4 linked regions of the Saccharomyces cerevisiae S288C genome follow. The protein of the gene in region 1 interacts with the protein of each later gene in a biochemical or structural test. Each region holds a gene or a part of one and is shown in the gene's direction. Other genes may lie near its edges. The genes, in order: YSH1, YCK1, CLP1 and GLC7.

Evidence for each region.
Region 2: of the proteins of YSH1 (region 1) and YCK1, one has a biochemical effect on the other in vitro, tested with the Saccharomyces cerevisiae proteins (one study listed by BioGRID).
Region 3: the proteins of YSH1 (region 1) and CLP1 form a complex in vitro, tested with the Saccharomyces cerevisiae proteins (3 studies listed by BioGRID).
Region 4: of the proteins of YSH1 (region 1) and GLC7, one has a biochemical effect on the other in vitro, tested with the Saccharomyces cerevisiae proteins (one study listed by BioGRID).

The regions. Positions count from the first base shown.
Region 1 is NC_001144.5:695,889-702,862, reverse strand, and holds YSH1 (cleavage polyadenylation factor subunit YSH1), read left to right. Parts: upstream 1-3,367; coding exon 3,368-5,707; downstream 5,708-6,974. Other genes in the region: YLR278C (uncharacterized protein), read left to right, coding at 1-2,864; DBP9 (ATP-dependent DNA/RNA helicase), read left to right, coding at 6,033-6,974. UniProt on the Saccharomyces cerevisiae protein: Component of the cleavage and polyadenylation factor (CPF) complex, which plays a key role in polyadenylation-dependent pre-mRNA 3'-end formation and cooperates with cleavage factors including the CFIA complex and NAB4/CFIB. Has endonuclease activity.
Region 2 is NC_001140.6:372,194-378,452, reverse strand, and holds YCK1 (serine/threonine protein kinase YCK1), read left to right. Parts: upstream 1-4,142; coding exon 4,143-5,759; downstream 5,760-6,259. Other genes in the region: SPS100 (Sps100p), read left to right, coding at 1-234; YHR138C (uncharacterized protein), read left to right, coding at 754-1,098; ARO9 (aromatic-amino-acid:2-oxoglutarate transaminase), read right to left, coding at 1,203-2,744; SPL2 (Spl2p), read left to right, coding at 3,353-3,799; metalloendopeptidase WSS1, read right to left, coding at 5,895-6,259. UniProt on the Saccharomyces cerevisiae protein: Casein kinases are operationally defined by their preferential utilization of acidic proteins such as caseins as substrates.
Region 3 is NC_001147.6:800,470-806,394, reverse strand, and holds CLP1 (cleavage polyadenylation factor subunit CLP1), read left to right. Parts: upstream 1-4,087; coding exon 4,088-5,425; downstream 5,426-5,925. Other genes in the region: protein-transporting protein SEC63, read left to right, coding at 1-1,363; peptide alpha-N-acetyltransferase subunit NAT5, read right to left, coding at 1,488-2,018; TMA16 (Tma16p), read right to left, coding at 2,192-2,728; TUM1 (thiosulfate sulfurtransferase), read left to right, coding at 2,931-3,845; APC5 (anaphase promoting complex subunit 5), read left to right, coding at 5,664-5,925. UniProt on the Saccharomyces cerevisiae protein: Component of the cleavage factor IA (CF IA) complex, which is involved in the endonucleolytic cleavage during polyadenylation-dependent pre-mRNA 3'-end formation. Associates with HRB1/CF IB to form the cleavage factor I (CF I) complex.
Region 4 is NC_001137.3:428,991-435,213, forward strand, and holds GLC7 (type 1 serine/threonine-protein phosphatase catalytic subunit GLC7), read left to right. Parts: upstream 1-3,504; coding exon 3,505-3,681; intron 3,682-4,206; coding exon 4,207-4,968; downstream 4,969-6,223. Other genes in the region: PMD1 (Pmd1p), read right to left, coding at 1-1,459.

The DNA.
Region 1 (6,974 bases):
CCACAGGTAAGTACAAGGGGTTTCCACCTCACCGATATTTCTCCACCGCTATCCGTCACATCACTAAGTGTGGTCTACATTTGAATTATGTTCAGCAAATAGAACTGTTGACATTGCTTGTCCTTTACATTATTAGGACTGATAGAGATTCTCTGATACTATATGACATAATCAAGGATGTCATGGGCATATCCAAGAAGAAACTTCATCTAAATCAATGGTATCCTAATGATCCATTTGCAAATAAGAAACTGCGACTATTTTGGTGTGTTTACCTGTTGGAAAGAATGATTTGTGTTGCTGTGGGGAAACCTTATACAATCAAGGAGTCGGAAATAAATTTACCTCTTTTCAATAACGACTCTTTTTATACAAAAGGTGTGCATGCGGCGGCTCCATCAACCAATGACCATGGTGTGCAATTCATCAATCAGTCTCTAAAGCTGCGAAGAATTGAATCTCAATTTGTAGAGACTTTACAGCTATTGAAAAACGATTCCAGGTCAGTGAAGCAATCCATTGATCAATTGCCCCTAGTACGAAAATTTTTTGAAGATTTGGAAGTTTGGAGAAAAAGTTATTCCACTCTTGACGTGAAAAATTTCGAAAACGAGACACTAAAACTTTATTACTATAGATCAGTGCGATTGCTTATACAACCATATTTGGAATTTTTCGCCCCGGAGGATAGACTATTTAGAGAATGTCAAGCTGCTGCGGGTCAAATTTGTCAGTTATACAAGATATTCCATCAAAAAACGCTTAATGGTCATTCTACACCAGCAGTGCATACGGTTTTTGTAGCTGGCGTAACTTTAATCTACTGTATGTGGTTAGCCAGGAATTTTGACGATCAAAGGAGGAAGAAATTAGGCGATGCTTCGAAGCATACTAGACCTTTAATCAGTGCAAGTCTCTTTTCGACGATGGATGATTTGAGAGCTTGCTCCGTTTGTTTATATGTTATGACAGAAAGGTCTAATTTTGCAAGAACCTTTAGAGATACTTTCGATCAGTTAATGAATGCCACGGTAGGTAATTTGATTGAAAGATGTGGTCCAGACTCTTCTGAGTTAATTTTCATGGCTAGTAGTGTCGCCAAGCGTACTGAACCCAAGAACATCAATGATGAGGCCAATAAGGCAATTTCATCTGGGGATACTCTTCATGATTCTAACTCCGCAAATGCAGCTAATCTATCCAATTCAAACGATAAAAATATATCTCATAATGGCGGTATGCCGCCTGCTGTGGCTAGAATATTTGGTAAAGGACAAGCTGAAGAGCACGCCGGTTTTGTGGAAAATTCACAAGTGGATTTGGCTGAACAAGAGAAATTCAAGAAGAAGCAAGGTGTTTTAGAAAAGACCTCTGTACCCAAAAGTTTAGCTCACCTATTAACCAAAATGGATGACAGGTCACGTATTTCAAATTCTTCAATGTCTTATACAACATCTTCTTCGTCATCATCTTCTTCTTCGTCATCATCGTCGACATTATCGTTTCCTTCTTCCCAAGAAAAAAACCTGAAAATCAATGTAAACAATGATAACAATGGTATGACCATCAGCAGCGTCAACAGAGAACACAACAATAATCACAACAATAATAATGATAATAATAATAATAATAACAATAATAATAATAATAGTAATAATAATAATAATGTTAATAATAATGATAATGAAAGTAATAGCAGAAGCACTACCAACAACAGCTGCAATAATGGCAACAACAGCCAGTATGTTCGTAACAACAACGTAACTATGGAAAATGATGTAGAAAGGCCTATTCAAGACCAATATATCGTCAAGAAACCAACCAACCAAACAGAGTTTGATTGGCAAGTATTTCAACAGCAGGCCTTTCTACAACAGCAACTAGCTCAGCACAATTTACAAGCGTATCTATCGTCCCTGAACACCGATACTATGACCAATAGAAGTCCTTCAAAATCTTCTAGCATATCTACAGCCTCTTCGCATTCGGATCCGATTCCAATAGCGATGACGCAAAGCCCAACTCCATATCCTCAAACTTCCAATATGCTACCGCAACAGCATGTATCACGACCACTGCCGCAACAACAGCGGGAGCAGCCACAACAACATATTACTTCTCCACAAAGATTCTCAGAAAGCAATTTTACGAATCAATTAAACAATGGTATGATCAACAGTAATCCTCTACAATCTGCAATATTCTCTAACCATACAAGTGAAAATAAGCAATTAAGAGATGTCGAAGAATCAAATTTCAGTACATCACCCCTAAGAGCAGATTATGGCAATAATATTATCTCCTCGATACCAGCGTCATTTACTAGCAATTCAATTCCGGTCAGTGTCAAACAAGCTCGAAATGGCTCTTCTTCGGGCGATATACTTTTCAGCAACGGTGCTCATGACATGATCAACAATATTTCCACCTGGACCAATAACTCCGTTCTAGATGCTTTGAATAGCAAGTCCATACTACAAACAATATTTCCCCAGAGTCAAGAGCCTTCATCTCTGTCCATGGACAAACAGCAGCAACAACATCAACAACAAAATATGTGTTCTGAAAACAATGTAACCGCTAATAATTTTCAACAGACGCAGAATGACCCTTCGTATAACAGAAATTTGTTCATGATGTCCAATCAGGAAGGTGTACAATATAATCTTGACGAAACAGAGAAGAATGGACCTAAAACACAGGTGGAAGCAAACACTAGCGCAAATCTGCATTTCGACAATGTTATTCCTACAGTAACTAACGCAGACATCAGGAAAAAGCGTTCTAACTGGGATAACATGATGACATCTGGTCCGGTAGAAGACTTTTGGACGATTAATGATGACTACGGCTTTTTAACGTGATACTACATTAATATAATAGTATGTACAAACTCATTCCTTTTTTTTTTTTTTTTTTTTTTCTCTTTTTTTTTAAAAGAACAACTAAATCGCTTTTTTTAATTATGATATGGGTCATATCTTATAAGCCTAATCTAAAACACATTTTTTTCTTTCATTTATATTGTTTTTAAAATCAATAAAACTCTTTCTTTCCTGTATAAAGTCCTCTCCAAAAGACTAAGTAGCGTGTTTGCAAATAAATACGGGTAAGCAGTTATTCTGGCCGAAAATTATGAAAAACTAGCGGATCTTTAACAACTTCTACTGCTTCAGCGCAATACATATTGAGATCACATCTAATAGGTTCAAAATGTTCACGGGTATAAGCGTTTATTTCTTTTACCCTTGTTTTCAGTACTTCAAAAGTTACAGCACAAAAGAAACATTGTATTATCAATTGAATTTTGTCCATTGAGGAAATAAAAAGTAACATAATAAGTTAACATTAATAAGTATACGCATATATGGAGCGAACAAATACAACAACATTCAAATTTTTTTCATTGGGAGGAAGTAACGAAGTTGGACGATCATGTCATATATTGCAATATAAAGGTAAAACAGTGATGCTCGACGCAGGAATTCATCCGGCATATCAAGGATTAGCTTCATTACCTTTTTACGATGAATTTGATCTTTCCAAAGTCGATATCTTACTGATATCACATTTCCATTTAGACCATGCCGCTTCACTTCCGTATGTGATGCAACGGACTAACTTTCAAGGCAGAGTTTTCATGACACATCCAACCAAAGCCATTTACAGATGGCTACTGCGAGATTTTGTAAGAGTTACTAGTATAGGTTCTTCATCCTCCTCTATGGGGACTAAAGACGAAGGTCTATTCTCAGATGAGGATTTAGTTGATTCTTTCGATAAAATTGAAACGGTGGACTATCATTCTACTGTTGACGTCAATGGTATCAAATTTACGGCATTCCATGCAGGCCATGTATTGGGTGCAGCGATGTTTCAAATAGAGATTGCTGGCCTTAGGGTGTTATTCACAGGTGACTATTCGAGAGAAGTAGATCGTCACTTAAATTCTGCTGAGGTGCCTCCACTTTCATCCAACGTATTAATTGTGGAATCTACCTTTGGTACCGCTACTCACGAGCCCCGTTTAAATAGAGAAAGGAAGCTAACCCAACTAATCCATTCCACAGTGATGAGAGGAGGCCGTGTTCTACTGCCTGTTTTTGCTTTAGGGAGAGCTCAAGAAATCATGCTTATACTGGATGAGTACTGGTCTCAACATGCTGATGAACTCGGTGGTGGACAAGTCCCAATATTTTATGCATCAAATTTGGCAAAAAAATGTATGAGCGTTTTTCAAACCTATGTAAATATGATGAATGATGACATTAGAAAAAAATTTAGAGACTCTCAGACTAATCCCTTCATATTCAAAAATATATCTTATCTTAGAAACTTGGAGGATTTCCAAGATTTTGGTCCCAGTGTGATGTTGGCCTCACCAGGTATGCTGCAAAGTGGGTTATCAAGAGATTTACTTGAAAGGTGGTGCCCTGAAGATAAAAATCTAGTACTAATCACCGGTTACTCCATCGAAGGAACAATGGCGAAATTTATTATGCTTGAGCCAGATACAATACCTTCCATAAATAATCCGGAAATAACCATTCCAAGACGTTGTCAAGTTGAAGAAATCTCCTTTGCCGCACACGTTGACTTCCAGGAAAATTTAGAATTTATTGAAAAGATTAGTGCGCCAAATATCATCCTTGTTCATGGAGAAGCCAATCCCATGGGCCGTTTGAAATCTGCATTGTTATCCAATTTCGCGTCTTTAAAGGGTACAGATAATGAAGTCCATGTTTTTAATCCTAGAAACTGTGTTGAAGTAGATCTTGAATTTCAAGGTGTCAAGGTTGCAAAAGCTGTGGGAAATATTGTGAACGAAATATATAAAGAAGAAAACGTAGAGATAAAGGAAGAAATTGCGGCTAAAATTGAACCTATAAAGGAAGAAAACGAAGACAACTTGGATTCTCAAGCAGAAAAAGGTTTGGTTGATGAAGAGGAACACAAAGACATAGTCGTTTCTGGGATTCTAGTTTCAGATGACAAAAATTTCGAATTAGACTTCCTTTCTTTGTCTGATTTAAGAGAGCACCATCCCGATCTTTCTACAACGATATTAAGAGAGCGCCAGTCAGTTCGTGTAAATTGTAAAAAGGAGCTAATTTACTGGCACATTTTACAAATGTTTGGAGAGGCTGAAGTTCTTCAAGATGATGATAGAGTAACAAATCAAGAACCAAAGGTTAAAGAAGAGTCAAAAGACAATCTGACCAATACAGGTAAATTGATTCTACAGATAATGGGTGATATTAAGTTAACTATTGTTAATACTCTAGCCGTTGTGGAATGGACTCAAGATTTAATGAATGACACTGTAGCAGACTCCATTATTGCTATACTTATGAATGTGGATTCAGCTCCCGCCAGTGTCAAGCTTTCGAGTCATTCTTGTGATGATCATGATCATAACAATGTGCAGTCTAATGCACAAGGTAAGATTGATGAAGTTGAGAGGGTGAAGCAAATCTCAAGGTTGTTTAAAGAACAGTTTGGTGACTGTTTTACTTTATTTCTCAATAAAGATGAATATGCAAGTAATAAAGAGGAAACTATAACTGGAGTGGTTACCATAGGTAAAAGCACTGCTAAGATTGACTTCAACAATATGAAAATTTTAGAATGTAATTCAAATCCTTTGAAAGGTAGGGTGGAAAGCCTCTTAAATATTGGTGGTAATTTGGTCACACCGCTATGTTAAAAACAGTTACGCATACTAAGTAGACTACTTTATAGAAGTAATACCAAACCAAAATCTGGTTAGAACTGCCTTTTATTGTTTACCTTAATCACTCTTTACGTAATGAAACCTAGAGATGAAATTTTAAAAATTTTTTTTCACGAACATAAAGAATAACTCTTCTAGACCATCTCATCTCATCTCATCTCATCTCATTTCATTTCGATTCTTCTAATTTCTTTCATTGAGTAAGAGCCTTTTGTTTTGGCTGATAGTTATAGTCAATCTACAATTTATCTCACAAAAGAAATAGACTAAGCCAAAACTGCAACGAAAGATCAAAAAAATGAGCTATGAGAAAAAGTCTGTGGAAGGCGCTTATATTGACGATTCTACAACGTTCGAAGCATTTCATCTCGACTCTCGTTTATTACAAGCTATTAAGAATATAGGATTTCAGTACCCAACATTAATTCAATCACATGCTATTCCTTTGGCTTTACAACAGAAGAGAGATATTATAGCAAAGGCCGCTACAGGTTCCGGAAAAACTTTGGCATACCTCATTCCTGTAATTGAAACTATCCTAGAATATAAAAAAACAATTGATAACGGAGAGGAAAATGGTACACTAGGTATTATACTTGTTCCAACAAGAGAACTGGCTCAACAAGTATATAATGTTTTAGAAAAACTAGTCTTATATTGTTCAAAAGATATAAGAACTCTGAACATATCATCCGATATGTCTGACTCAGTTTTGAGCACTCTACTTATGGATCAACCAGAAATCATAGTTGGTACACCTGGTAAATTATTGGATTTGTTGCAAACAAAGATTAATTCTATCTCATTGAACGAACTAAAATTTTTAGTAGTTGATGAGGTGGATTTAGTGTTAACATTTGGTTATCAAGATGATTTAAACAAAATTGGAGAGTACTTACCATTGAAAAAAAATTTACAAACATTTTTGATGAGTGCAACCCTAAATGACGATATACAGGCTTTGAAACAAAAATTTTGTCGTTCTCCAGCTATTCTTAAATTCAATGACGAGGAAATAAATAAGAACCAAAACAAATTACTTCAATATTACGTTAAAGTCAGTGAATTTGACAAATTCTTACTATGCTATGTCATTTTTAAACTTAACTTAATCAAGGGTAAAACATTAATTTTTGTAAATAATATTGACAGAGGATATAGGCTCAAGCTAGTTATGGAACAATTTGGTATCAAGTCCTGTATTTTAAACAGCGAGCTACCCGTTAATTCGAGGCAACAT
Region 2 (6,259 bases), on another chromosome or scaffold:
ACCGTGGCATCATGGACATCGGTCGACTTCCCTGTCGTTTATGCAAGTGATGGATCCAGTGGTCATGATGGTTCAGGAATTGGGTTCATAAGTAACACAAGTATTCCACAAGGTGCAATTTCTGCTGGGTACTTGTCACCAATCCAAGCGCAAACTTTGTTGTCTATTGCTATCCATAATCAAGTCACAAGTAGTAGCGAGTTACAACAAATCTTCCCTGTTAGTCAACAATAAGATGATTATGTGTTGTGTACTACGAAAATAAGCAAAAAATAAATAAAATAAAAACAAAAACAAAAACAAAAACAAAAACAAAAACAAAAACAAAAACACATATTGTTATGATGACTGGACGAAAGAAAGATCGTCGTTACTTTCCTAATTGTTTGTCTTCAGTACAGTTATTATCAGTGTTCTCTTTCTTTTTTATTGTACTATGTGATGTTACTGATACATCACGCGCTTCCTTTATGTTTTCTTTTTTTATGTTCGTTACAGGATTTATAGTTTTTACAGTATATTGACTTCAATAATTTCTAATATTCAGTTCCTATTAAATTTGATTATTCCGATTAGATCGGTCGGCGCTACCAAAAAGAGGCGAAGAAAAGAGGAAAACGCAAGTGGATAAAGGGGTGGGGGGCAAAAGTATTTAAGAAAAAGCGATGCGATGGAGAGAACAAATGGATAAGTTGCGTTTCCTCGTTATATTACAACATTTAAATCTATTGTGTAACAGACTATAGCATATATATGAAGGCCAGTTACTTAGTTTTGATTTTCATTAGCATATTCTCCATGGCACAGGCATCTTCCTTATCATCATACATCGTAACTTTCCCCAAGACGGATAATATGGCTACGGACCAGAATAGCATTATTGAAGATGTCAAAAAATATGTGGTGGACATAGGGGGTAAAATAACACACGAATATAGCTTGATAAAGGGCTTTACAGTGGACTTACCTGATAGCGACCAAATTTTGGACGGTCTGAAAGAACGTTTGAGCTATATTGAAAGCGAGTACGGTGCTAAATGCAATTTGGAAAAGGATTCAGAAGTTCATGCTCTAAACCGTGACCATTTAGTTGCTTAGAGTAATTTAAAATATACGCGACTATAACTTTTTCCCAACTTTTATACAAAAAACTACAATTTATATATGATATGCAAATAACACATAGGTTTAATCTTCACTGTTCAACTTTTATAGTTGTCAAAAAATTCTTTTATGCCACTACCGATTCTTTTGGAAGCTTCAATCAACTGATCATCATCCCTTGCATAGGCGATGGTGAGTCTTAGAAAATCTGAATTCTGCTTTGAATAATTTGGGCAAACAGCCATTTTATAACCAAGCACTACTTTAACACCATTCTTCAGCAAGAACTTATCTAAAATATCCATCTGTTGCGGCAAATCGTCAGGTCTATCGAAATTCCCCCAATTGATTTTAATAATGATGAACATACCCGCGGAGGGTTCCATAACGGTAAACTGACCAGCTTGGTAAGATTCTGTTTCGTATAAGGCTTTCAAAGTAAGATTTTTCCTATGATTGTATTTAGAAGCAATCTGCATTATCCATCTTATCCAACCCTCAAACATTGCTTCTTTCATAGAAAGAGAGGACGATAAGTTGGACTCAGCCATTGCCTTTATTGTAGAATAAACAATAGCTTGTGAGGTACCACTGGGGGCCCTTGTAGTAATGTCGGCCAAATCCAAGATTTTTTGCAAAAGGAATTTATTAGCAACGATGAAGGATAACCTTAATCCAGGAGCAAAAATTTTAGAAAAAGTCTCCAAACGGATGACACGGGCATCTGTATCCAAAGTCAAGAATGATTTCATTAAAAAATCATTCAAATACCGTTCAGTAGTCAGGTCGCTAGAATGGTAAGGGTTTTCTAATGGCTCTTGCGGATTATAGGAAGGAAAGTACAGATAACCGTAGGGATCATCTTCAACAATGAGGAAATCGTGTCTTTGGGCCAACTGGTAAATTTTCTCTCTTTTCCACTGGGGGACAGACATCCCGGTAGGATTTTGGCCCGTTGCAATGGTATATAGGACCCTTGGCTTGTTTAAGTCTTTGTATGGTCCAGTTGACCAATTATCGAGCAACTGCGTTAGATATTCGACATCAATACCCTGGGACTCTCTGTCGAAGGTCAGGTTCATCTTGATGGGGATGACTTTTGCTCCTGTAGCCTCCACATTGGACATAGCCGGGGTGAAAGTAAACTCTTCAATCATCACAGTGGTCGATTCGTCGCAAATTGTTTCAAAAACCTTAAACATTGAATCGTTGGACCCGCCAGAAAGGATGACATCCCAGTTAGACTCCGTCTCATCGGAAAAGGCTGGGCGATTAATTCTGGACACAAAATCTTTAACAAAATGTAAGAGAGGGGGTAAACCCTTGGTTTCTGCATATTGGAAAGAACGTGCAATGGGTAGCTCACTGGGGGATCCCAAGTCCAAATGCGCCGTGGTAAACGAATTATGCCATTTTGGGTTATCATTAAAAGGAACTTTTGATATTTTCAAATCCATAGATTCGATAGGAAAAAATCTCTCGTTTGGCATTCCACCAGCTAGCTCAATGACGTCATCTGAGATATCAGAAGCATCCCAAAAGCTTTTCAGAGATCTATTTTCTACTCTTCTGGAGAGAAACGGTTGGAAGTTCTTCTTTAAGGAAGTGTAATCAACAGGGGGGGCAGAACCAGCAGTCATTGAGTCGATGAGAGAGTGTAATTGTGGTATGTGTGTATTTTTATGTTTACACTGGGATATTACAAGACCAAATCAAGCTTTTTCCTTTATATATATCAAATATTTATAATGTTTCCTACCCCAATGATGGTTCGGTTATCCGCGGCAAATCTCGGTAAGCATCGGCAATGCTTCCGCGAGTTACCGCTTTTTTTTTTTTATTCCTTTGTTATTATCTACGGCCGTCGGCGGCAATAGTATTTTTGCTCACGTGACCGACAAGGGTCCATTTTATTGCGGTACGGCTCTCTCTTTTTTTTTTTCTCCTCTTCAACTTCTCTCTGATTGCAAACAATATATAACATAACCATGTTCATTACGTACGAAAATATATATACATAAATGCATGGCAGTTATGGCAATTACAACTACAACGCCGTAAAGTTCCAAACGCAGCGGCCTGAGATAGTAAATGATGTACGCACGTGGGCGAAAGTTCATTACTTTGACTGTTGTAACATACCGTATCTCTCTTTTCCCACGTGCTCCGCTCTCTTATCTACCTTGGCGGTACAGCCCTGCGCGGAGTCACTGCAGCCACGTGCCTAGATCTATTACTATGACTTCCCATGGGCACATATACGCCATTAATATACAATATATATAACGTTCATATATGGGTATTTACAGAGAGCCAGGGGCAAATTGGACAGATGTCTCCACGCGGCAAAATGGAAACAGCAGTTTCACAAGGACAACACAAACAACTTAAAGATGGTCACCAGCATAAGGGAAGAAAACTCTCCGAGGAGATCGCTTCTCTATTGAGGCTCAAAGAGTGCAGGAGGCTCAATCCTGCTAGTTACTATACTCCACGTAGAACATCGCAGTCACAATCTCTCAGTGGATCAACTTTTAAAGAGTATAACGAGTACATTAATGAGAAAGATTCAAGTAGAGCGCAGCGTCAAAACGCTGCCGCCGTTTTAAGCAAGCTCGCCCATGACTTTTGGGAGAACGACTGTGTCATTGACGAAGACATATTCGAAGATTCGTCTGACGAAGAACAATCATGATTGCATCTCTTAATCGTTACACATACATACCTTCTACCTCTGTACTGTTACATATGCATTGACTTTACGATCTAATATAAATCCTTTTGATGTTACCCCGCCTGTGGGCTCGTTCTCCTTTCGTTTCTTACGATTTTTTCGCCGGAACAAGAAAAAACAGAACAAAACAAATCAGCGATCGTATACATGGGTCTTTGATTTCTGCTTGCTTCTTACAAACAACAAACGCAAACCGTTCATTGAGTGCTCTGTGACTGGTTTTCATGTGGATGCCATAGTAGAGAAAAGACACATACAAAAATTTCGCGCATTCGCTGGCCCTTTTCCTGCTCTCCTCTTCCCCATGTCCATGCCCATAGCAAGTACCACTCTAGCAGTTAACAACCTCACCAATATAAACGGAAACGCAAATTTTAACGTACAAGCAAACAAACAACTCCACCACCAGGCTGTCGACTCGCCCGCAAGATCTTCGATGACCGCCACGACCGCCGCCAACTCCAACAGCAACTCTTCCAGAGATGACTCTACTATTGTCGGCCTACATTACAAGATCGGCAAAAAAATAGGGGAAGGTTCCTTTGGTGTGCTATTTGAAGGTACTAATATGATCAATGGCGTACCCGTCGCGATCAAATTCGAGCCCAGAAAAACGGAGGCCCCTCAATTAAGAGATGAATATAAAACATATAAAATTCTGAATGGCACTCCCAATATCCCCTACGCGTACTACTTCGGCCAAGAAGGTTTGCACAATATCTTGGTCATTGATCTTTTGGGTCCCTCTTTGGAAGATTTATTTGATTGGTGTGGAAGAAAATTTTCTGTCAAAACGGTTGTGCAAGTTGCTGTCCAAATGATTACTTTGATTGAAGACTTGCACGCACATGACTTGATATACCGTGATATCAAACCAGACAATTTCTTGATTGGAAGGCCCGGCCAACCTGACGCAAACAACATCCATTTGATCGACTTCGGTATGGCCAAACAGTATCGTGATCCGAAAACTAAACAGCACATCCCATATAGAGAGAAAAAATCACTCAGCGGCACTGCCAGATATATGTCCATTAATACTCACCTTGGAAGAGAGCAGTCCAGAAGAGATGATATGGAGGCCTTGGGTCACGTTTTCTTTTATTTCTTGAGAGGCCACTTACCCTGGCAGGGTTTAAAAGCTCCAAACAATAAGCAAAAATACGAAAAGATTGGTGAAAAGAAAAGATCTACTAACGTTTACGATCTAGCTCAAGGCTTACCTGTGCAATTTGGCAGGTATCTAGAAATCGTCAGAAGTCTTTCCTTTGAAGAGTGTCCCGATTATGAAGGCTATAGAAAACTATTACTATCTGTACTGGATGATTTAGGTGAAACCGCGGACGGCCAATATGATTGGATGAAACTGAACGATGGCCGTGGTTGGGATCTTAACATAAACAAGAAGCCAAATCTCCACGGATACGGCCATCCAAATCCACCAAACGAAAAATCGAGAAAACATAGAAACAAACAGCTCCAAATGCAACAGCTCCAAATGCAACAGCTCCAACAACAGCAACAGCAACAGCAATATGCTCAAAAAACTGAGGCAGATATGCGCAATTCTCAATATAAACCAAAGTTAGACCCTACTTCTTATGAAGCTTACCAGCATCAAACCCAGCAGAAATACCTGCAAGAACAACAAAAGAGACAGCAGCAACAAAAACTTCAGGAGCAACAACTTCAAGAGCAACAATTGCAACAGCAGCAACAGCAACAGCAACAGCTACGTGCAACAGGCCAACCTCCATCTCAGCCTCAAGCGCAAACTCAATCTCAGCAGTTTGGCGCTCGTTATCAACCACAACAACAACCTTCTGCTGCTTTAAGAACTCCTGAACAGCACCCAAATGACGATAATTCAAGTCTAGCTGCTTCTCATAAGGGCTTTTTCCAAAAATTAGGTTGTTGCTAAATATAGAAATGACATTTTTTGCAAGACTACCGTCTTTCTTACATTTTTTGTAATGTGAATATATCTGTATACTTTACAACCGAAACGACATTTACCATACTTATAATTTTCGAGTTCTTCGCTGTGGACAAGAGATTAAGTGAGATCAATAACTTCGATAAGAGTATCTCCCGGGAGTACCTCGTCATCATCATCAAGGATTACAACTTCTAAGGAGCTGCTAATATTATCACTTATTATTTGATCTTTGTTATTCTTCGTCTCTCCGCACCAGCGATCATCTCTATATCTCCTTTCGGCTGCAAAAGCCGCCAACTCTCTCGGGGAATTACCTCTATCTATAGATGATATACCCTCTGGATGCAAACTCCCTAACTTCACACCTTTGCCCCTTTTTCTCACTATCCCTGTGTTAGTACTTATTCCTGTCATAGGATATCTATTTGAACGTAAGTTTGCTCTTCCACCGAGACGTTGACCGTTCCCCAAAAATGTGTCGT
Region 3 (5,925 bases), on another chromosome or scaffold:
ACCAAGATTTTTGGTAGATGGAAGTGCATCTCCATTATTAGTGGTTTGTTATGTTGCGCTACTAGGTTTAATCTTGCCATATTTTGTTAGTAGATGGTGGGCAAGAACACAATCGTATACTAAGAAGGGAATACATAATGTGACGGCTTCTAATTTTGTTAGTAACTTAGTCAATTACAAGCCATCTGAGATTGTCACCACAGATTTGATCTTACACTGGTTATCATTTGCTCATGAATTTAAACAATTCTTCCCGGATTTGCAACCAACGGATTTTGAAAAACTTTTGCAAGATCATATTAACCGCAGAGATAGTGGTAAACTTAACAATGCGAAATTTAGAATAGTGGCCAAATGTCACTCTTTGTTACACGGTTTATTGGATATTGCTTGTGGATTCAGAAATTTAGATATTGCATTGGGTGCAATCAATACTTTCAAGTGTATTGTTCAGGCTGTACCATTAACACCAAACTGTCAAATCCTTCAATTGCCGAACGTAGATAAAGAGCACTTTATTACCAAAACCGGAGATATTCATACATTAGGTAAATTGTTTACTTTAGAAGATGCCAAGATTGGTGAGGTTCTTGGAATAAAGGATCAAGCAAAGTTAAACGAAACTTTGAGAGTTGCATCGCATATTCCAAATCTAAAGATCATCAAGGCAGACTTCCTTGTCCCAGGTGAGAACCAAGTAACACCATCATCTACCCCATACATTTCTTTGAAAGTACTGGTTCGTTCTGCTAAACAGCCATTGATACCAACTAGCTTAATTCCTGAAGAAAATTTAACAGAACCTCAAGATTTTGAATCTCAAAGAGATCCATTTGCTATGATGAGTAAACAGCCACTCGTCCCATATTCCTTTGCACCATTTTTCCCTACAAAGAGACGTGGGAGTTGGTGCTGTCTGGTAAGTTCTCAAAAAGATGGTAAAATACTTCAAACGCCAATTATCATTGAAAAGCTATCTTACAAGAACTTGAACGATGACAAAGATTTCTTTGATAAGAGGATAAAAATGGATTTAACCAAACACGAAAAATTCGATATAAATGATTGGGAAATCGGGACCATAAAAATTCCATTAGGTCAGCCTGCACCTGAAACTGTTGGTGATTTCTTTTTTAGAGTAATCGTTAAATCCACAGATTATTTCACTACAGATTTGGATATTACCATGAATATGAAAGTTCGTGATTCTCCTGCAGTGGAACAAGTAGAGGTGTATTCTGAGGAGGATGATGAGTACTCTACTGATGACGACGAAACCGAAAGTGATGATGAAAGTGATGCTAGCGATTATACTGATATCGATACGGATACAGAAGCTGAAGATGATGAATCACCAGAATAGATATAAGTGATTAGTATAGTTTTTCATTTTAGCTCTTAGACGTATATATTTCATCTTTATAAAAATAGATACATGTGTATACAAAGCAAAACCAAAAAAAAAAAAAAAATTTTTCAGCCATCTGTTAAGAAATGTGTTTTTTCAATAAGATAGCATCTTGTTCGTCGCCATTTACACCTTTTATGAAATTGTTGACAGTTTCGCCCACTTGTTCGAAGCCATGAGCTATAAACCATTGCTTTGTAAGATCATCCACTGCTGGTAAATAGACAAACACGTTATGTTGATGACATTCTGAGCATTTGTCTTCTGCAAACTTCAGTAATTTTGAACCGATGGATTTGTGCCTATAATTAGGCAACACGCCCAAAAATTCGATTTGAATGCCCTTGAGAGATAGTTCGTTTTGTTTTTTAGGAACTAATTTAGCAACCAAACCACCCACTGGTATTTCACTGTAATAAGCCATCTGTGTGAAATGTACATCCTTCTTCGAAGATGGCTTTTTATTTTTTGCAACTAAGCTATCCTCAGCGAATAATGCACTGAAGAAGGCATCTTGATATAAGTTTGGTACTGTCACATGAGCTAGTTTGGTTAGCATGCCCAAATTGTTAGCGTAAACATTGTCTAATGTGCATATATCACGGCCCATATTTCGCACTACTCCCTTCAATTGTCTTTGCCAATTTGTTTGTTACGGATTAATTTGTGAAAAAGCTTCGCTAATAATATCAATTTTCTTTTTTTTCTTTGCTTTTTCTACTATAATATACATAAAATTATATAAAGAGCATATAAACCATAAAGATTCCTCTGCGACACTTCTTATTCATTTCCTCCAACGACTTGTTCACCTTTATCATTAATTCTGATCAATCTTAGAGTATTCAAAAGGCCAAAAGTGCCATTCCAGTTTCTTAGAAATTCCATATTCTTCGCATCACTCAAGTCTGGACAGAGAAACCCCGCCTTAAATTCTTTTAACTCTTGATCCCTCCTTTGTTGCAGTAGCACTTGTCTATTGCTTGGTGGCCTGTTTGACCTCCTCTTCTTCTTGAGTTCGTCTAATTCCGTATCATCTCTTTCAATAAAACTTTGAATAAACTCTCTTGTGTGGGCGTGATCAAATATTGGTTGCCCTTTGAATGTATCAGAGTTAACTACATCCTGCATAAATTTTACCCGAGCTAGTTCGTGGACTCTTTTGTCTTGATGAAGCTTCTTTTTGGCTGCGATTTTATCTTCACGCATAGTAGCCCTGACCAGCTTTTCATACTTTCTACCCTTCGGATGAACCGTGATATTTTTCCCTTTCTTGGATAAGTTCTTTTGCAACTTAGATAAAGATTTAGTAACCGGCATGATTAGTTTGTCGTGGTAAGTCCTGTTCCGATACTTTTCTTCTTAGAAAGTACCTTTAAAGAGCTCATCTCTCATCTCGTCTATTAAACCATTTTAAAATTTTCGCTCGGGATGTTCAGCTGTGTACAATAATACAGCGTAAGTGCATTCAAACAATGAGGACAAAAGCATAAAGTTGTGAAGAAAATTGCCCATACATTCAATGCCATTATTTGATCTTATTTCTCCAAAAGCGTTTGTTAAGTTAGTGGCCAGTGAGAAGGTTCATAGAATCGTTCCAGTTGATGCAACATGGTACCTACCCAGTTGGAAGCTTGATAATAAAGTGGATTTCTTGACCAAACCACGTATACCAAACTCCATTTTCTTTGATATTGATGCAATCAGTGACAAAAAATCGCCCTATCCACATATGTTCCCTACAAAGAAGGTTTTTGACGACGCTATGAGTAATTTAGGAGTTCAAAAAGATGATATATTAGTGGTTTACGATCGTGTTGGTAACTTTAGCTCCCCTAGATGTGCTTGGACATTAGGAGTGATGGGACATCCTAAGGTGTACTTACTAAATAATTTCAACCAGTACAGAGAGTTTAAGTACCCTCTAGATTCCTCTAAGGTGGCAGCGTTTTCACCCTATCCAAAGAGTCATTATGAGTCCTCAGAAAGTTTCCAAGACAAGGAGATTGTAGACTATGAGGAAATGTTCCAATTGGTAAAGAGTGGGGAACTGGCTAAGAAATTCAATGCTTTCGATGCAAGGTCGCTCGGTAGATTCGAAGGTACAGAACCAGAGCCTCGTTCCGACATTCCATCGGGGCATATTCCAGGTACCCAACCATTACCATATGGAAGTTTACTTGATCCGGAGACCAAAACGTACCCAGAAGCTGGGGAGGCGATACACGCTACTTTGGAAAAGGCATTGAAAGACTTTCATTGCACTTTGGACCCAAGTAAACCAACTATTTGCTCTTGTGGAACTGGCGTTTCAGGAGTCATTATCAAGACAGCATTGGAGCTAGCAGGAGTTCCCAATGTTAGATTATATGATGGATCCTGGACCGAGTGGGTCTTGAAATCCGGGCCCGAGTGGATTGCTGAAAACAGAGATTAATAAGAGAAATATATTCTTGACAAGTCGATTTATTTAGCTACATATATTAATTATCTATCTACTTACTTAAAGGGCGATCTCCCTTTCTTTGTCTTATTTGTGCTCTTCATTGTTATTGCCCGGTAAAATAGAAAATAACAGCAAAAAATAAGACTGCTGGCAAAAATGAGCAGAGACCTTTCTATCGAGGGAAAAGAACAAACTATTAATTCTTTTCGAAATTCCAACACGATTAAACCATCATGGCAAGTCTACCTGGTATTGATGAGCATACTACCTCTGAAGAATTGATAACTGGTGATAACGAATGGCACAAGTTGGTTATTCCCAAGGGCAGTGATTGGCAAATTGATCTTAAAGCAGAGGGAAAACTGATAGTCAAGGTAAACTCGGGCATAGTTGAGATATTTGGCACCGAGTTGGCAGTAGATGATGAGTACACTTTTCAGAACTGGAAGTTTCCCATATACGCTGTCGAAGAAACAGAATTATTATGGAAATGTCCTGATTTAACTACGAATACAATAACTGTCAAGCCTAACCATACTATGAAATATATTTATAATCTACACTTCATGTTGGAGAAGATACGAATGTCTAACTTTGAAGGCCCTCGAGTGGTGATTGTTGGTGGTTCGCAAACCGGGAAGACTTCCCTATCGAGGACACTATGTTCTTACGCTTTGAAATTCAACGCTTACCAACCACTATACATCAATCTTGACCCTCAACAGCCCATTTTTACTGTTCCTGGATGCATATCTGCCACCCCAATATCAGATATACTTGATGCACAACTACCCACTTGGGGTCAGAGTCTCACTAGTGGTGCCACACTACTACATAATAAGCAGCCAATGGTGAAAAATTTTGGCCTGGAAAGGATTAATGAGAACAAAGATCTATACCTTGAGTGTATAAGCCAGTTAGGTCAAGTAGTAGGTCAAAGGTTACATTTGGATCCTCAAGTCAGGAGATCAGGGTGCATTGTCGATACGCCATCAATATCACAACTGGATGAAAATTTGGCTGAACTGCACCATATCATTGAGAAACTCAATGTTAACATTATGCTAGTACTATGTTCTGAAACGGATCCTCTTTGGGAGAAAGTAAAAAAGACATTTGGTCCAGAATTGGGAAATAATAATATTTTTTTCATTCCTAAATTGGATGGTGTATCCGCAGTTGATGATGTATACAAAAGATCCTTGCAGAGGACATCCATAAGAGAGTACTTTTACGGCTCTCTTGATACAGCCTTGAGTCCTTATGCTATTGGTGTTGATTATGAGGATTTAACTATTTGGAAACCTAGCAATGTTTTCGATAACGAGGTCGGTAGGGTGGAACTGTTCCCCGTCACTATAACTCCAAGTAACCTACAGCACGCTATTATAGCCATAACGTTCGCAGAAAGAAGGGCAGATCAGGCAACAGTAATAAAATCGCCTATTTTAGGATTCGCTTTGATTACAGAAGTTAATGAAAAAAGGCGTAAATTAAGGGTTTTACTACCTGTCCCAGGCCGACTTCCCAGCAAGGCGATGATTCTAACTTCATATAGATATTTAGAGTAAGTAAAATTATCTGTTCAAGAGCCTTATATCAAATCCATACAAATATCGTACTGTACTGTCGAAGTATTGTTTGGGTGATTTTTATTTTTAATTTTTCCAACGCTTATATATTAACAATATTGCCAATTTGTGTCTTTGACATTATTTGCGCTAGCTAAAAAACTGCTGCAGTTTCATCGAGGAATATAAAAAACGACGAGAGTTAAAAGGAAAAGGCAAATCAAAACTGATCAGAAAAATGAGTAAGTATGGTCCATTGGGTATTACTAACTTTATTACTCCGTACGATCTATGCATATTAATCCTAATACATGCTCACTGCTCACAAGATAATGGCATATCAGTGCCAACAGCAGTATTTCTTCGGTTAATATCCCCTACTAGACCTTCACTAGAATGGAATCCTCTGCTCAAGGATAATAGTAATTTAAGATCTTCATCTATTGTTCCTCCTCCTGTACTTCCTATTCTAGATAATATAATAAGGATACTGTTAGATG
Region 4 (6,223 bases), on another chromosome or scaffold:
TGGTATTCACTAATTTATTATAGCCGTTTAACATTGGTAAAGAGAATGATAAAATGTGATCGAATTTTTGAACGCTAGGTGAACAAAAATCATCTGTTCTGGTACCAAGTAATAAAGCTTGATGATGAGACTTCCAAATCAGAAGCTTCCAAAATCTATGCATACTAATACTGCACTCAGTACATGCTATGTTTACTCTTATCCATTTTCCACTAGCGATATTATAAATGAAACAATGAAGATTGGAAGGTTGGGGGTCTGGATAAAATCCTATTACAACAATGTTATAATTAAAGTAATTACCTGAGGGATACTGCAAGTGAAAAGGTACTTGTAAAATAGAGTTTTCTTTGTTGTTTTGTGTAGGGTTTGATGTCATCCTAGCGCCCTGAGAGTTTCCAAGTAGTGGCAAAATTACGATAGGCGACATAAGTGTTTTTACTGCGTTTTCATCTGCATCATCGCTTTCAAAATACTTAAGATCGCCATGATGGTGATGGTGATGTTTTGGTAGTTTGGATTTGTCGTCTAGATCATGAGCGTAAGTAGAGAAACTACCATCGTCGGTTCCCCTTCTGGACGTGTTTGCCTCGCGTTGAGGGTAATATAATGCCAATGTCGGAATTTCTGCCTGATTATTTTCAATCAGAACTGAGAAGTTGGAATCGTGAGATAAAGAAATTGGCATCCCATCAATATTAACCAGTATTTTTGACGACCCCTTTGAAGCTGGGTTTTCGTCCGATTTCGATTCTGACTCCCATAAACTTGTACGTAGGTTAAATATATCAATTTTTTTAACAGGAATATCCATATTATCTAACCCACCTACAATGATTAGCTTCGTATCTTGATTTTCGTTATTTTCATTTAGGACGTGCATACTATGATTAAAACGTCTTGTAATTTGAGGGTTTTCACTTATCAAAGACCAGCACTTTGTTTTAAGATCTAATTTCCATAATTCGTTTGTTGCTATCAGCTCATAGCCGTTGTGAGGCGACACCATAAGCCCACCGAAAATGTAAATGTTGGATTCTGTGAAGCACATCGAATGAAACAATCTCTCTTTAAAGCTTAAGCCGTTATTCAACTCATTTTCTGATGTAGTATCTATTGTAGTATTTATTCTTTGCCATGTTCTGGAAATTAAATCAAGGAAAAATATCTCAGGGCTTATCCAATCAGCTAATGTTTTAAAATCAGCATTTCTATCCTTCTGTTTACCAAAATATAGAATTAGCTCCTTTTGCAGTTGTAATGAATTTATAATAGTCAGATTTAAAGGTAGTGTGAGCCCACCATGGACAAAAACACCTGAACGGGCTAGTTCTACTGCAGCTCCAGTTCTGCATTCCAAAGTGAGCTTCTTCCTTGTTGCTTCATCCAGATTGGGATTCGGTACAATAGGGAGGTTGAGCGGATAACAAACACTAGATGGTGGTTGTAATACGGTCATTTTTAAAAACTTTATGCTTTCACCTAATTATAGAAACGCGTACTAATGTTTTTTGTTATTGAAGAAACTGGAAATGACTAAAGAATACTCAGGCAACGATGAGCATAGCCAAAAAAAAAAAAAAATTTGTTAAAAGTGATACTGGTAACTTTAATACAATATCCAAAGTTTATGATATCAAGTTGGAAACGGTGTCGATGTGGACTTTGTTAGAGGTTAATCTGTATTTGTGACTGGGCTCTGCCAAACTTACTATCTTCTATTATCTAGGCTCAAGTAAGTAAGATGAAAAAAAGAAAAAGAAAAAAAAGCAGAAAAAAAGCAGAAAAAACAGTAAAGTGGGTGTGAGTGCACTGGAAAGCCTGTGTAATAAGTTTTTGATGTACTGTATTCCTTGCGAGTATTATCACAAAGCTCTACTGTGTTTGCACTGTGGGCGTATAGGGATATCGCGAGGGCAACGCAAAACTAGCAAGATACACATATTCCATACATTAAAGCGGTAATTTTTAGTAGTTAATTTCGAAATTTCAAACCCGGCAATGATACGCACATTAAGAAAAGGGAAAAAAAAAAGAATAAATTGGCCATAGAAAAATTCTGTTATCCACTAGACAGAAGTTTGCGTTCCATACTGTCAGAGGTGGCATTTTACATAACAATAGTGACAAAAAATAAATTTCAGAAGGAAGGCAACATAAGTTTTTCTAATCCTAAAATCTTTCGATTTTGTATCAGAGATTGTTCACGCTAATGTCATTCATCATAGTAGATCATTTATCTTTCACTGCGGAGAAGTTTCGAACGCCGAAACATGCGCACCAACTTTCACTTCTACAGCGTTTGACCAAAATCTTTTGAACAGAACATTGTAGGGTGTGAAAAAATGCGCACCTTTACCGCTAGCCCAAGAGGGCACTACAAAATCTAGAGTTGTACTTCAAACGTACATGTAATCACCTTGTATATACTCGAAAGAAAACATCAAGTTTCTGTATAAATATGAGTGAAAGCATAATCATACATTATCTTTTCAAAGATGAAGAGTGGGTGAATTTTGAGATAATTGTTGGGATTCCATTTTTAATAAGGCAATAATATTAGGTATGTAGAAAGTACTAGAAGTTCTCCTCGAGGATTTAGGAATCCATAAAAGGGAATCTGCAATTCTACACAATTCTATAAATATTATTATCATCATTTTATATGTTAATATTCATTGATCCTATTACATTATCAATCCTTGCGTTTCAGCTTCCACTAATTTAGATGACTATTTCTCATCATTTGCGTCATCTTCTAACACCGTATATGATAATATACTAGTAACGTAAATACTAGTTAGTAGATGATAGTTGATTTTTACTCCAACAAAAGAATTACAGTCAGTGGCTGTTTGCTGACATTTCATTGCTTCCCTTACAACCTGATTTCCATTCGAGTTGAAAGGTTGAGAAAAATTGCAAGACTTCTCTCTCATCTACCTTCCCCTTTTCTTGAAGACAAGGTGAGAGACAATTTAGTACTAAAGCTTTTGCGGTTGTTATTCAATTGAGGTAGATACCTGGCAAAACATTTCTTGTGAGCACAACCTCAATTAAAGTTAGACAAGTAGGTGCACTATTGGTTGCTTGTTGGCTCATCTCGTTGAGGAATGTAATAACTACTTGTTATTAACCTGTTTTTGTGCCATCTATAGTGGAGAGCTTATTGCAATTTGTTTTTTATTTCTTGACTGCATATATCAGTCTTTGACAGGCTGCATGGGGATGACAGTTAGAAACTAGCCAAATTACCCCTTATGTAGATAACAATCATTGCTTATTCGCTCTTCCCCCATTTTTTTTCTTGCTCTTGCTGTTTTTTCTTTTAGCGTTCGTTTCAAGGAACAAGAGAGGGAAAAAAAAATCAAAAGTAGAAAAGAAGAAGAAAAAAACAACGTAACACAAGTTAACACCACAACTGAAAAAAAAAATAAGAGGTGAACGAACGAGTAACTGGGGAGAGGAAAGCAGATTACCACAATATACATTCAAATTAAAGAAATGGACTCACAACCAGTTGACGTTGATAATATCATCGATAGATTATTGGAAGTAAGAGGATCTAAACCTGGTCAACAAGTTGATCTAGAAGAAAATGAAATCAGATACTTATGTTCGAAAGCCAGATCTATATTCATAAAGCAACCCATTTTACTAGAGTTAGAAGCCCCAATTAAAGTATGTTAATGTTGAACTTCGCAGTCAAGAGATAGAATGCCTAGAGCTTCAGGTGTTTTATGTGTTCTACTCCTGTTGCGGCAGTAAGATAGTTACAGCAGTTATTTCCGTTTGACTGAAAGAATTTACCAAGCATCTGATGTTAGCCTACTCATATGTCGAGATAGCCGAGATAATGTGTGTGTTTAGCTCTTCATTTTTCTATCTTATTAGGCATTTTTTTACCAAGATTTCCTTATGTTTTGTATCATCATCCGGCCGGCGCCTCCCATATTCAGAAAAATCCCCCTTGCTCACACTAAAAAAAGAAGGCATTTTTTCGTTATGAAGAAAACGAATCTTTTTTTTTTTTGAGCCCGAGAGAAAGGTCGGACGAAAACCAAGAAATGTGGATTTGCAGAAGGCATTGGGAGAAATGAAGCGTTTTTGACAGCAGTAATTGTTCTCTTAAAGTCAACGGAATGAGCTAGATTTAGTGACAAATTCATTTACTAACTTATTTTTTTCTATTTTTTTTTTTTTTAGATATGTGGTGACATTCATGGGCAATACTATGATTTACTACGTCTATTTGAGTACGGTGGATTCCCGCCAGAATCTAATTATCTATTTTTGGGTGATTATGTCGACCGTGGTAAACAATCCTTAGAGACTATTTGTCTATTACTGGCTTACAAAATTAAGTATCCAGAAAACTTTTTCATTTTAAGAGGGAACCATGAATGTGCTTCCATTAATAGAATTTACGGGTTTTATGATGAATGTAAGAGACGTTATAATATCAAACTTTGGAAAACTTTCACGGATTGTTTCAATTGTTTACCAATTGCTGCAATTATTGATGAGAAAATCTTCTGTATGCATGGTGGTCTCTCACCAGATTTGAATAGTATGGAACAGATCAGAAGGGTGATGAGGCCAACAGATATTCCCGACGTTGGCTTATTATGTGACTTATTGTGGTCAGATCCAGATAAAGATATCGTAGGTTGGAGTGAAAATGATAGAGGTGTTTCTTTCACTTTTGGTCCTGATGTAGTGAACAGATTTTTACAGAAACAAGATATGGAGTTGATTTGCAGGGCCCATCAAGTTGTGGAAGATGGTTATGAATTCTTTAGTAAAAGACAATTGGTGACACTTTTCAGTGCTCCGAATTATTGTGGTGAATTTGATAACGCTGGTGCAATGATGAGTGTTGATGAAAGTTTATTATGTTCTTTTCAAATTTTAAAGCCAGCCCAAAAAAGTCTACCAAGGCAAGCTGGGGGTAGAAAGAAAAAATAAATAGATTCACGTCCTAAATCAAAGTTTAAAAAGGAAAATACTTATTAACAAGAAGAGTAGTAGAAGAAAAATACAAGAAACATAAACGTAGAAAACTTTTAGTCAATTCTTTAAGCGAAGAATACGAAAGAAACATCAAGAAAACAAAGGAAGATGCAATCATCACTCGTCATATACACAAATAATTCCCTTTAGTGCAACAAACCGCGAAAAAGCATAAGAAACATAAAAAAAATATAAAAAAAAGGAGATAATAATAAGATGTGAAGGATTTGAATTAGTGGAAAAATGATAAGTCTACACTATTATTATTAACGAAATGCAATTTTTCTTTATTTTCTTTTATTACTATTATCATTACTATTATTATTAGTATTATTATTTTTTTACTTATTTTTATATTAAACTATGTTAAATTACTATATTATTATTTTGTCTAACTCTATATTGAGGCTGTCTTTCGTTGCACTGTTAAGAATGGTCACGTCTTCCTTTGGCTTTGAACCCTTTTATAAACAAGTTGGCCAAATCATTTAGTCAATCACGTCAACCTGTCTAAAATAAGACAGGTAAAAAAGAAAATGCCATCTCCTAGAATCGAACCAGGGTTTCATCGGCCACAACGATGTGTACTAACCACTATACTAAGATGGCGACTTTTCAATGGAGAACTGTTGTATTACGGGCTCGAGTAATACCGGAGTGTCTTGACAATCCTAATATAAACAGTCTTAGGGAAGTAACCAGTTGTCAAAACAGTTTATCAGATTAATTCACGGAATGTTACTTATCTTATATATTATATAAAATATGAATCATACTAAGTGGTGGAAGCGCGGAATCTCGGATCTAAACTAATTGTTCAGGCATTTATACTTTTGGGTAGTTCAGCTAGGGAAGGCCGGGTTTTATCTCATGTTGTTCGTTTTGTTATAAGGTTGTTTCATATGTGTTTTATGAACGTTTAGGATGACGTATTGTCATACTGACGTATCTCATTTTGAGATACAACAAGAACCGTATCCTTATTTTGTACTTTTGTGTAAATATTTAATGAATTGTTTGAGCAATTACGAAATTGTTTGGAATCCAAAGGAATCTTCAGTAAATTTGTTGGAATAGAAATTAATTGGCTTCTATTAATCAGTGCGTATGTTACTGGTATATTGGGAATGGGTGAACAATTTGAGACAGTTGTTGGATTCCATTGTTGTTAAAGGCTGCAATATTACGTAGAACGAATATGCTGCAATTC